Nothobranchius furzeri: one gene and its partner. The protein of the gene in region 1 interacts with the protein of each later gene in a pairwise test. Links are inferred from orthologs where the notes say so. Each region holds a gene or a part of one and is shown on either strand. Other genes may lie near its edges.

The links. The genes of interacting proteins can lie anywhere in the genome.
Region 2: the proteins of prpf31 (region 1) and khdrbs3 interact in binary tests that used the Homo sapiens proteins (3 or more experiments, as listed by UniProt). The two-hybrid records come from large-scale screens. The link is inferred for Nothobranchius furzeri from reciprocal best matches to the Homo sapiens genes PRPF31 and KHDRBS3.

Annotation. Positions count from the first base shown.
Region 1 is NC_091745.1:76,606,912-76,612,487, forward strand, and holds the start of prpf31 (U4/U6 small nuclear ribonucleoprotein Prp31), read right to left. Parts: upstream 3,971-5,576; 5' UTR 3,831-3,970; intron 2,827-3,830; coding exon 2,611-2,826; intron 2,535-2,610; coding exon 2,474-2,534; intron 2,369-2,473; coding exon 2,285-2,368; intron 2,188-2,284; coding exon 2,090-2,187; intron 1,721-2,089; coding exon 1,614-1,720; intron 506-1,613; coding exon 336-505; intron 261-335; coding exon 103-260; intron 25-102; coding exon 1-24. Other genes in the region: uncharacterized protein lmtk3, read right to left, coding at 5,477-5,576. UniProt on the Homo sapiens protein: Involved in pre-mRNA splicing as component of the spliceosome. Required for the assembly of the U4/U5/U6 tri-snRNP complex, one of the building blocks of the spliceosome.
Region 2 is NC_091751.1:1,192,187-1,197,795, reverse strand, and holds the start of khdrbs3 (KH domain-containing, RNA-binding, signal transduction-associated protein 3), read left to right. Parts: upstream 1-1,929; 5' UTR 1,930-2,265; coding exon 2,266-2,356; intron 2,357-5,609. UniProt on the Homo sapiens protein: RNA-binding protein that plays a role in the regulation of alternative splicing and influences mRNA splice site selection and exon inclusion. Binds preferentially to the 5'-[AU]UAAA-3' motif in vitro.

The DNA.
Region 1 (5,576 bases):
CCGAGCAGCCTTCCTTCTCAGGTCCTGAAGGGGAAAAATGATCTCCGTGAGCCAAAAGGTTTCACTTCTGAGACGTTTTAAACTAAAATAGCATTTACTGACAGGCGGCAGCGACTGCACGACATCACAGTGGTAGATAAAACCGGTGTGAGGGAGCAGGGACGTGCTGCTGAAGCCGGACAGGGTTCTCCTCTGAGCTCCCAGCAGCATCAGGTTACAAGCTGGCATCTTTGAAAGGTTGGTGAGACCACCAGCGATACCTGCAGCAAGAATACCAAAAAGGAAATAAAGATCTGAAACACCTACAACAGGTGCAAGCGTGAACCGCCTCTCACCCATAATCTTCGCAGCGGTCGATGCTCCGACAATGATGGACAGGTTCGGGGCTATAAAAGACATTCTTGACTCGACGTACTCGTAAATCCTGTGCTTAGACTGATTCAGCTCCAGTGCCATGTCACAAGCCTCCTCCAGCTGCTTCAGCTCGTCCTCGCTCAGCAAACACCTGAAAAAAAAAAAAAAAGTTTTTTTAAAGGGACTTTACGGAGTTTTGAAATTTTATGCTCGCGGTTGCCCCCTCAGGCCAAAAGCGTAATGGCAGCTTCAATAGTAGGCTCGTGCACGAGGCGTGCATGCTGTACGTGCACACTCCTAAATGAAAATAACAGCTGAGACAGTCCCTTGTGTGCGTGTGTGTGTGTGTGTGTGTGTGTGTGTGTGTGTGTGTGTGTGTGGCCCGGAGGACAGAGGACAGGAGAACACGCAGCTAATTAATTAAATAATTTGGTTCTGTACCTTTCTCTTCAGCACAGCCGACAAAGGTTTATGATGGGTCAGTCCTCCTGCATGCTCAGATCATTCCCTTCCCTTGCTTGAAAATTTGTTCCAAAATGAAAGTTGAACCCACATCTTTTTATCTGTGAATTCAATGCCGTTCGGCGAGTCTCAAATAAAAATTTGGGCGTCTTACTGTAAAAAATATACCATTAATGTAAAAAAGAAACTCTAAATAAACTATGTTCACACCCAGAATTGAACCCAGGTCTTCTGCATGGGAGTCAGACATCTTACAAGGTGAGTTACACTCTAGTAACATTCATAGTATCTGTAACTTTTATATCCTTGATGACAGCTGAAACAACATCAAACCAAAGAACGGTTCAGAGTGAAAATGGCTATTTTGTTGTTAATTTGCAGGAAATATCTAGAAGAAAGTTCTACAGAAAGTAGCTAAGGGTCCTCAGAAATGTAGCTAGCTTTGTCACTAGGCGTTAGGAACAGCGACAAAGTGGCACTGCCTCTCTCTCTGCTGCTAAAGCTACGGATAGCAAATGCTACGGGCGATGCCTGAGCGTGAACGCGCATGAAGCAGCCTGCTCGACCCGAGCATCTCTCTTTTTCTGTGATTTTACAGAAAAACAGGCAATCACAGTAAAAATGCCAGGGCTCATTCTACAGGACCAGGGCATTGCAGGAGAATGTATGAAGAAGACATTTATTATTTCTATACATGTTTTGGCTGTCAAACTTCCATAATGCCCCTTTAACATCTGAATTATTCAAAAACTTCATGCTGTTCACTCGCCAAACAGGATTCTGACAGGAAAACTCACCCCTGTGTGGTCGATGCGGTGACACTGACAACCATAATAGTTGCATTGGTCAGGATTTGCTGCAGGGTCTCATTGTTTTTACATTTATCCAGATTGTTTCCCAGTTCCTACAAAAAACACACAAATATTACTGAATGTTTTGCTAAATCTGCACACACACACACACACACACACACACACACACACACACACACACACACACACACACACACACACACACACACACACACACACACACACACACACACACACACACACACACACACACACACACACACACAAACACAAACAAAAAAAAACTAATCCGGTTTTACGTTTAAAAAGTTTGGAGATAAAATTAAAAATGTAAATAAACAGCAGAGAATTGTGTGATTTCACAAATCCTTCAGAAAATATTTATTACATTTAACCAATGACACAAATATTCAAAAAGGTGACATTTTAATGTGAAATTCAGAATCAAGACGTCAGCTCACCTTGACTGTGCGAATGTAATCTAAAGCATCTGGCACCAAAGACTCGAGCTCAGGAAACCTCTTGGAGTATTTGTCTCTTGTAAACTTGTGAATGATGTCTAAAAGTACAAAAGGAATAGAAAAATTAGATGTGTGGAATTACTCCTCACGCTTTTCTGTCACGGTTCCTCGCAGCGGAACAGCCAGCTGACTCACTGAGCTCGTTGTCGATCTCCACAGTAAGGTTGTTGGCCGCTACGATCAGCCTGTATTCTGGATCAGCCTCAACAGGACCAGAGACTAAAAACAAACACAGCAATCACTTCAGATTTGTCAGCACCGAGCTGATTTAAATGCTGTGAGGGACGCCTGAGCATTGATGAAACTCAAAGGAATCAAACTGACCGTCTGAATTTTTGCGTTGCTTTCCCACATATTCTGAAATTTTGTCCATGATGTCTGAAAACTAAAAACACACACAGTTAAGTGGGATTCTAATGTTTTATTGTACATCTCACTACACAGAAAACTCAGATGATAACCTGCTTGCTGTTGCGAAGCTTGGCGATGGACGCAACGCTTTCAGCTTTACTGTAGTCCACCTCCATCTCCTCTGGAATGTCTTCCAGCCCTGCCTGTGTCCTTCCCTGGATCCCCTCTCCATCACTGTCTCCCTCCTCCTCATCTGGATACAATCCTTCTTCTCCTTCATCTGCAGCCTCCTCCAGGTCAGCCAGGAGCTCGTCTGCTAGAGACATCTGCAAAAGAGCAGCGAATAAAAATAACAATATGAAGATGATAAATACATGAAAACAAACCAAAGTGTGTGTCTGTGTACACCCCCTTCTCATCTTAGACAGTATATTCATAACAGCACTTTTCTTCTACATTTTCACACACACACACACACACACACACACACACACACACACACACACACACACACACACACACACACACACACACACACACACACACACACACACACACACACAGAGAAAAAGAAAGAATGGTAATAAAAGCCTCATCTTAATGATGAACATCTATTTTTATTGTAGCTCTGATCTTCAGATTTTTGAACATGTTTTTCCACTAACTCCATACTTCTGTTTCTTTAATTTAAAACTTCATTAATCTTTGGAAAAATTTAATAGAAGGCGTATTTATGCCAGTAGTTACCTCTACTAAATAATCTAATTTTAATATGTAATTTGATATTTCGTTGGATTAAATCACATTATTTTAGTGAAACCAAGTAAACACTGGCACATACATGTACACAGATAGAGATAACCTGCTTTTCTAAAACACCAAATACTGTCTCATTCACTATTTCAAAAGGCTGAAAACACAAATGTACAGCAAATCACTATGTTTTACATTATTACTCATTTTAACTGATTTCTAAACATTTATACACGACCAAAATTATCTCGTGCAACCGGTAAACCTGAAACTGCTATTAAACTAAAATTATAGTTTGCTAAAGATACATTTTAAACCTCATACACAGTATTTCATTGAAATACTATTGGTAGTATACAACTTTTTGTCTCGTTTTCAGTGGCTGCATGGCATTTCATTACTTCAAGCTCTTCAAATAACATGTAAAATTGCAACACATAACATAAATATAATAATTAACACATTTTAAGATGTTTTTCTCAGCCGCGTTAACACACCAGCTGCGCTGTTAGCTAGCTAGCGGCATCAAACGTCTCCTAAACGTTTCCTGAAGCTTTATTAAAATGTTAGAACTCACCTCTGAGATTCAAATTGAGATTATTTACTCGGGGAAAAAAAACTTCAGAAGACAACTAATCTGTTTAAACACGCTGTTGCTATTTTATTTGTCCGTTTAAAGCTAATGTTGTGCTCTGCTCTTGTCGCAGATTAAATACGTAATGAGCTTCCTAAGGCCTTCTGGGAAATGAAGTCACTGGCCCATAAACTGAGAAATAGATGAAAACTAATTGCTTTATTTGCGAATACTTCGTTTTAAGATGACAAACAGTGAGATTTATATCCATGAAAACATTTTAGGTAAAATATCAACTTTTTTCTGTTTTTATTTCTTATTTCTTCTTATTTATACATCGTCCCCTTTGAAAATCATTTTAAAACAACACAAGTTTAACATTGAAACAGACTAAACAGACTTGCCGGACCTCTGCAGCATGACCAACTGTTATTAGTTAAAAAAAGAAGAATAAATTAATCAACAAATACACAAACAAATTGACTTATTTACTCATGAAAAGCTCTGATTTGTGGTGCTAAGCTACAATAATCATTATCAAACAAACAAGTAAAAAAGTGGTAAAGCTCCTGAAAATGTTGACCAAGACCGAGAGAGAGAGAGAGAGAGAGAGAGAGAGAGAGAGAGAGAGAGAGAGAGAGAGAGAGAGAGAGAGAGAGAGAGAGAGAGAGAGAGAGAGAGAGATTTCCACACAGTAAAGATCGTCATAATATATTAACAAGTAAAATTATTCGAAATACATTTTCTTCCAGCAATTAAAATGTTTGGGAAAATATTGTATTTGTTATGAAGATCTTAAGAGAATGTACAACTTGGATGCACTTTATCCCAAACTAAATAAATTTCATAAATGTTAACTACTCTAAAGCAAATAAATGAACTTATAAATAAATAAATAAATAGGTAAATTAATTAACTAATTTGCACAACTTGGTTTACAGCAAATAATTCTATCAGTATGATAAATATAAAAATAAAACAAATTTTAAAAATGCTTTTCTAAGATACAAATCCAAAGTAAAATACCTTTTTTTGCAGTCCAAGATTGCTTCTTAAAGCAAAAGCTCTAAAACAATATTGTGTCCACCTATGTTGTGATACTTGCACAAATGCTGAGGAGTATTTTCAGATACAGGAGTCAGGAAATGTCTGCTTGAAACTGCTGCCTACAAGCACGACGGACTGACTGCAAAGAAAAACGTCGTTGAGGATAAACTGGGGAAGAGTCCAAGCGTATACACAGACGGATGAACGACTAAAGAAAGTGCATCTCCCTCCCACACACCCTAAGAAAACGATTCAACAGAATGAAGGAGAAAAGAGAAGGTACGCTGGTACACAGCAAGACTCCCACTGCATAGCTGACAAAGTTGTTTCAGATTTTACAAAGCTCCAAAGTTGCTCTTTTTCCAACATAAGCTCATATTTCCAAAGACTCTGTAAACAGTGGCAGGCAGGAGCTCAGATAACTTTTCATACAAGATCCTGTCACTGGCGAAGTCCGGGAATGTGTCCAGAGTCAGCGTCTCAACGTTCTGGTCGCCTGTTCAGTAAAAAAATATCTTCTGGGTGAATGGCTGGTTGTTGGGTAAATTCACTGCCCTCTGGAGAGGGCTCGTCTCTGAGAGTTCCTGTGATGATGTTCTACATCACACCGAGTGGGGGTCATCGGCGGGGCTGACAGTGAAGCGGGAGGAAGTCACGGGCGGCCTCGGCTTGATCGGTAAGTCCTCTTTCCTTTTGGAGTCT
Region 2 (5,609 bases), on another chromosome or scaffold:
TCTAGGGTTGGGCATCGAGCATCGATTGGAACCGGTTCCAACTGTTAGTTTTTCCCGGAATTGTTCAGTTTTTTATTTCTATTCCTAGTTTCGATTTCTAGAATGCCGACGGAGGAGGAGTCCGCGGCCGATCTCCGTGAAAAATAAACGTGATCTGCAATTTGTGATCAACTTTTCAGAGCTGATCACAGCTGTGTGTGTGCAGCTCCCCCCACGGCCGCGCAGCGGCCAAATATAAACAAACCATCTGCTGAACCTTTACTCAGTAATGTAAACTTTAACTCCTGCAGCGTAGAGGAAACTTGTTCAAATACGTCAACACGGTGGATTTAATAGAAGCTTTAAAGAACAAACTCTGGACGGTGTGAGGCGAGTTTGTCTCACTGCAGAAATAACAACACACACGGAGCGTCAGCAGTCAGACACAGCTGCTCACCAACACTCGTGTGTGTGTGTGTGTGTTGAGAGTTTTAATGTTTGAATCTGTTAGCTTGTTACTGACAGCAGCTACATCTAACTTCCTGTTGTGACTGAGCGCTGCTGCAGCATGGAGGTGTAGTTCTCCGTCATCCTGGACATGATCATCCTGAGAGTTCCAGCTGAAAACAGCTGGACGTTTCTGGATATGTTGGAGACATTTAGCCTCTCATCCCAGAGGCTTCTTCCAGACTTTGGTTGTGGTCAGAAACAAACACACTGGTTGTGCTGCAAGTCGTCTTCTTTTGTCTCCAAAACATGTTTGCGTCTAAATGAAGGTGATGTTGTTGTTCATAGAGTTAAAATTCATGTTGAAGTTAAGATTATTTCATCAAGTAGGACCTGTGGTTAGCTGGCTCATGTAAAGCTTGTCGTGTCTTGAAAGAATCGGAATCGGGAATTGATAGGAACCGGAATCGAAACAAGGAATTGGAATTGGAATCAGAATCTGAATTGTTCAATATCAAACGATGCCCAACCCTAGTAGTGACCGAAAGAACGAGATCGCGGATACAAACGGCCGAAATGAGTTTTCTCCGAAGAGTGGCTGGGCTCTCCCTTAGAGATAGGGTGAGAAGCTCGGTCATCCGGGAGGGACTCGGAGTAGACCCGCTGCTCCTCCACATCGAGAGGAGCCAGTTGAGGTGGCTCGGGCATCTGGTCAGGATGCCTCCTGGACGCCTCCCTGGTGAGGTTTTCCAGGCACTTCCAACTGGGAGGAGACCTAAAGGTAGACCCAGGACACGGTGGAGCGACTATGTCTCTCACCTGGCCAGGGAACGCCTTGGGATTCCCCCGGAGGAGCTGGCCCAAGTGGCTGGGGAGAGGGAAGATTGGGCCTCTCACCTTAGGCTACTGCCCCCGCGACCCGACTCCGGATAAGTGGATGAAAATGGATGGATGGAAATTGTTTCTAGATAGAAAAACAACTAAAAACAAAACAGTATCTTCTAGCCTTCAACATCTGCATCTGATTAAATCAGACTCCCACCAGCCTGCTTTCTAGACAGAACCCAATTACATTAAATGTTGCACAGTATTAGATATGCACCACTAAAGTACTACATAAGATATTGTATTATCATGTACCCCATGCCTTTTGGGTCCTCTTTTCAAAGTGCAGCTTTATTAATTTAGTTTAACTCATGCTCTCGTGCTGCATAAATAATTCTTGATTCCTCAAGATAGTTTCTTTCCCATAAATGTATGAAATAATGAAAAAGTTGCTGTTATTTCTTTGTTTCCCATATTTTAAAAATGTAATTGTTTAATCAGGTGAGATTATTTTTGACCTATTTAAAACTCTCTGAACTTCTTGAATAATAATAATAACAATAATAATAATAATTATTATTATTATTATTGTTATTATTATTGTTACAGGCTAATTGCGGAAACAGTGACCGCCTATAGCTGCTGCGCGTGGCCCCGCCTCCTTCTCGCTTGCCGGGGACATCTCAGAGGGATCCTCAATAATCCAGGGGACCCAAAGAGGAGAGGAGCTGCGTCCTGGCTCAGCGGCACTTTTTACGGAATTAAACCTGCGCCCGTGTCCCAACAGTTCTCTGCGCGCGCCCGAGCTCCGCGAGGACCGTGGGATGCGTCCGTAGCGCGAGCTCGAATGACATTATTGTTGTTGCTCCACAGAAACACGCACGACTGGAAGCTTCTGGACGCTGGGTAACTTTTGCTCAATATTTTTTAATTTTTGTTCATTTTTTCTCTCCCCGCGTTTCTGACTTTCACCTGACGCGCACCCGAGTCTGGAGCCCCGAAGCCGAGGGCGAGATGGAAATGGAAAAGTACTTGCCGGAGCTTTTGGCAGAGAAGGACACACTGGATCCGTCTTTTCAGCACTCCCTGCGGCTGCTGGATCAGGGTAAACGTCCGTGATCAAATCCTGGTGATAAACACCCTTTTTGTTCGATTACAGTGGTCGGGCTGAACGGATTTTAGGTTATAATTCTGCTCCAGAAATAAGATGTTTGTGGTTCTTCTAGTAAATTAGTCACACTTTAGACAGATTTAAGTGTAATCGCTCTATGTTCAGAAAACATTCTCAAACAGGTCAAATACATCATATGACAATTAGGACATATTTATTTTAGGTCAAATTCTACCACCTAATTTGGTTAAAATCATTTTTTCCTAATTCCGGTGAGTTGGGGCAGTTAATGTAATCATTTATAGTAAATATATCCCCTGACTGGTTTAATAGCACCAGTGAAACATGCAGAAGTTGTGTGAAATGTGTTGGAATAATTTTACTCACATTGGAAGGTACGTGTGTTTGCCACTTTTCAAACACACACCCACAGAGAGGAGCTGCCACCGTGATTAAACCACTACTCCCAGCTTTGAAGCTGAGAGTTTTGCGTTCCCTTCTCCAGATGCTCCCTTGCTGAGCTTCTCATGTTGGATGTGCACTTATTTTTTTTAAATTTTTTACCATTAAATACTACATTGAAATGTAAAATTTCCTTAAGCAACTTATGTCGACCTAGTTCCTTATGTGTAAAGAGTAACATAACACATATAACGTTGTATATTTTAATGTAACTAGAGTTAGTGGAACCAGTCGGCATACATTTGTTAAGTAAATTCAACAAAACATTATTTAAAGTGTACTTGCGTGTGCTTTTTTGGGATCCATTTGAGTGACTTAAACCAATCTGGTGGTACTGTAATTAAGTCTGTTGAATCCCCGGATCCTGTTGCTGTTATCGTTTATACACTCTAAGAAATAAAATGTTGAATTTTCTCACCAAGTTATGTCAACTGGTTCCGCTAAACCTAGAGTAAGCATTGTTATACGTTGTTGTTTGGGATGTTCCAGTCACATTCTTTGCTCCCGATCTGATACTTCAGCAATAATTTGGTATAAGAAAAAAGAGAAGACATCCAAGTTGTCCTTTAAGTTTATATTATTGCCACAAAACATTTTTTAGGAACATTGCTAAAAAAGGGTTAAAATTACGAAAATATTTAAAAGTAGCATTGCTGCTCGTATTTCAAATTGTTTACGTCCTTGCAGCTGTATCGAGTGACGCGCGTTCCAGCAACGGGGACGGCATGCGGCACCACGGCCGACGGGCTCACTTTTCTCTGCACAACACCTGTAGCTACCGTGGCAGCACGGCTCCAGCACGGTGAAACCCGATGTTATGTTTTCAGGCGGCAGTTTCTCTTTTTTATTAACGCATCTTTTACTGCTGGCTGGCTCCGTGTTTTTGTCCGAGTTGCTGCAGTGAACTGGGAATACTGGTGTCAAACTAGGGCTTAAGGGAAACAGGTGATTCGCTTTAGCGACACTTGAAGGAAAATGTCAAGAAAGTAGTTTGTTTATAAGGCTGAGACCCCCCCCCCCCCCCCCCCCGGTCCTCATGCCCCTTGTGTCCCCCCCACTTTTGAAGTCAGAACTACGTCCATGCCAGTATACACACATTACATATATTTTTTATGTGCTACGCTTCCAAAACACGTCACACTCAGCAGTTTAGATAGGGTCAGACAGGAAGTCAAACATGAAATGAGTGTTAAACATCAGGATATCTTTCAAAATAAAACAGCTGCAGCTAAAAGTACACCATTTCCTATTAAAACCCCCGTAGCGGATGTAAACAGAACAGAAAAGAAAGCACAGACGTCTTTGGAAACATGCAGCTGTCTTTCCCTCTGCTTGTTGTTGTGTGGACCTCTGAAATCATCCGTGCTGTTGCAGTCCTACGACTTTCTGACCTCACGGATTCAGCTGCAAGTAACTCTAGTTTTATCTGTTTCTCCTATTCCGGTCTTGTGATTTTGTTGTGAAGCACTTAGTATTTTTACTTGTGAGAGGTGCTATATAAATACACGTTACTTACCTATATAAATACCCGTTACTTACTGCCTATTTACTGTCTGCCGTAAACTGTGGGGCTCTACGGTGTTGTTTTTGTTGAAGAAACAAAGAATATTAATGTAGAAGAACTTGATGAAATGAAAACAGGACCATAGTTATAACATTTGTAAATCTCTCTCAGGATGAATTTTAAAACCTGTTTGTTGTTTTTTCAGGTTAAATGACCATTTCCCCGTTTCCCAATCCTTTGAAAATTATGTGATTATGCCCGATTTCCAGTCAGATCGGAGAATCCATAAACTAACATTTGTTTTTGTTTAGTGGAACCAGTGGAAACAACTTGGTTAGGTAAATTCAAGATTTCATTTCTTAGAGTGAATTGCCGTGTCAATTAAAATAAAATACTATACGCTTGAAGACATCCATGGGTTCGTAAAAGGGTTGTGATGGACCCTAGCAAAGCTTAGCATAATTTAACTTTAAATTTGCTTCTGGATAGAAAAGCGAATCTGAATGTTCGCTTATCATTTAGATCCTCCATGTAGATATTCACCGTGTTTCTGCAACCAATTATTTCTATTCATTAACCGGCTGGTATTTACTTGATGATACGCTGCTTCAAGGAACGCCCACCCCCGTACACACTGTGGAGCTACTCTGACTGTGAAACAGTTTAAAAGTGAAACATGACAAAAGCACAAATAAATCACATTTTTGTACGACTTAATCAGCAATGAACCAATTTCACAACTTATCAAACTTAACTTATTAAAGTTTAAGAGAGCAGCAGTGATAAAGATGTAAGAGAAAATGTGTGATAGATGAAGAGTTATGTTTGGTTGTAGTTGTTTGCTTTGCTGAATTATTTATTTTCATTGCTTTAGAGCGATTAAGTTGTGTCAGTCTGGATGTGTGTGAAATAAAAGTCATCATAAAGTTCACGTGGAAGAAAAGTACTCTTCAGAGGGCAGCAAAGAAGAGGAAGAGGAGGTGCGAGGGTACGCTTCATAACTCAAGAACACGCAACTCTTCAACAGACTGAAAAACAAGCAGGACGATACATTAAATAAGAATAAACACTGATTTAGTTACTGAAGCAGAGCAACATTTTATGGAAGGTCACCAAACTTCACTGTGTTCTTCTTGATTGGTAAATAATGGATTTTCATATAAGTTATTAAGTATGAGTAATTTTCTAATTCCTAGAATTTTCTGCTTATTTATTCAGGAAAATCTGAATGTGACATTTTACAATCTCGTGTACAATACTGTCTGAGAGTGGCAGCATGCG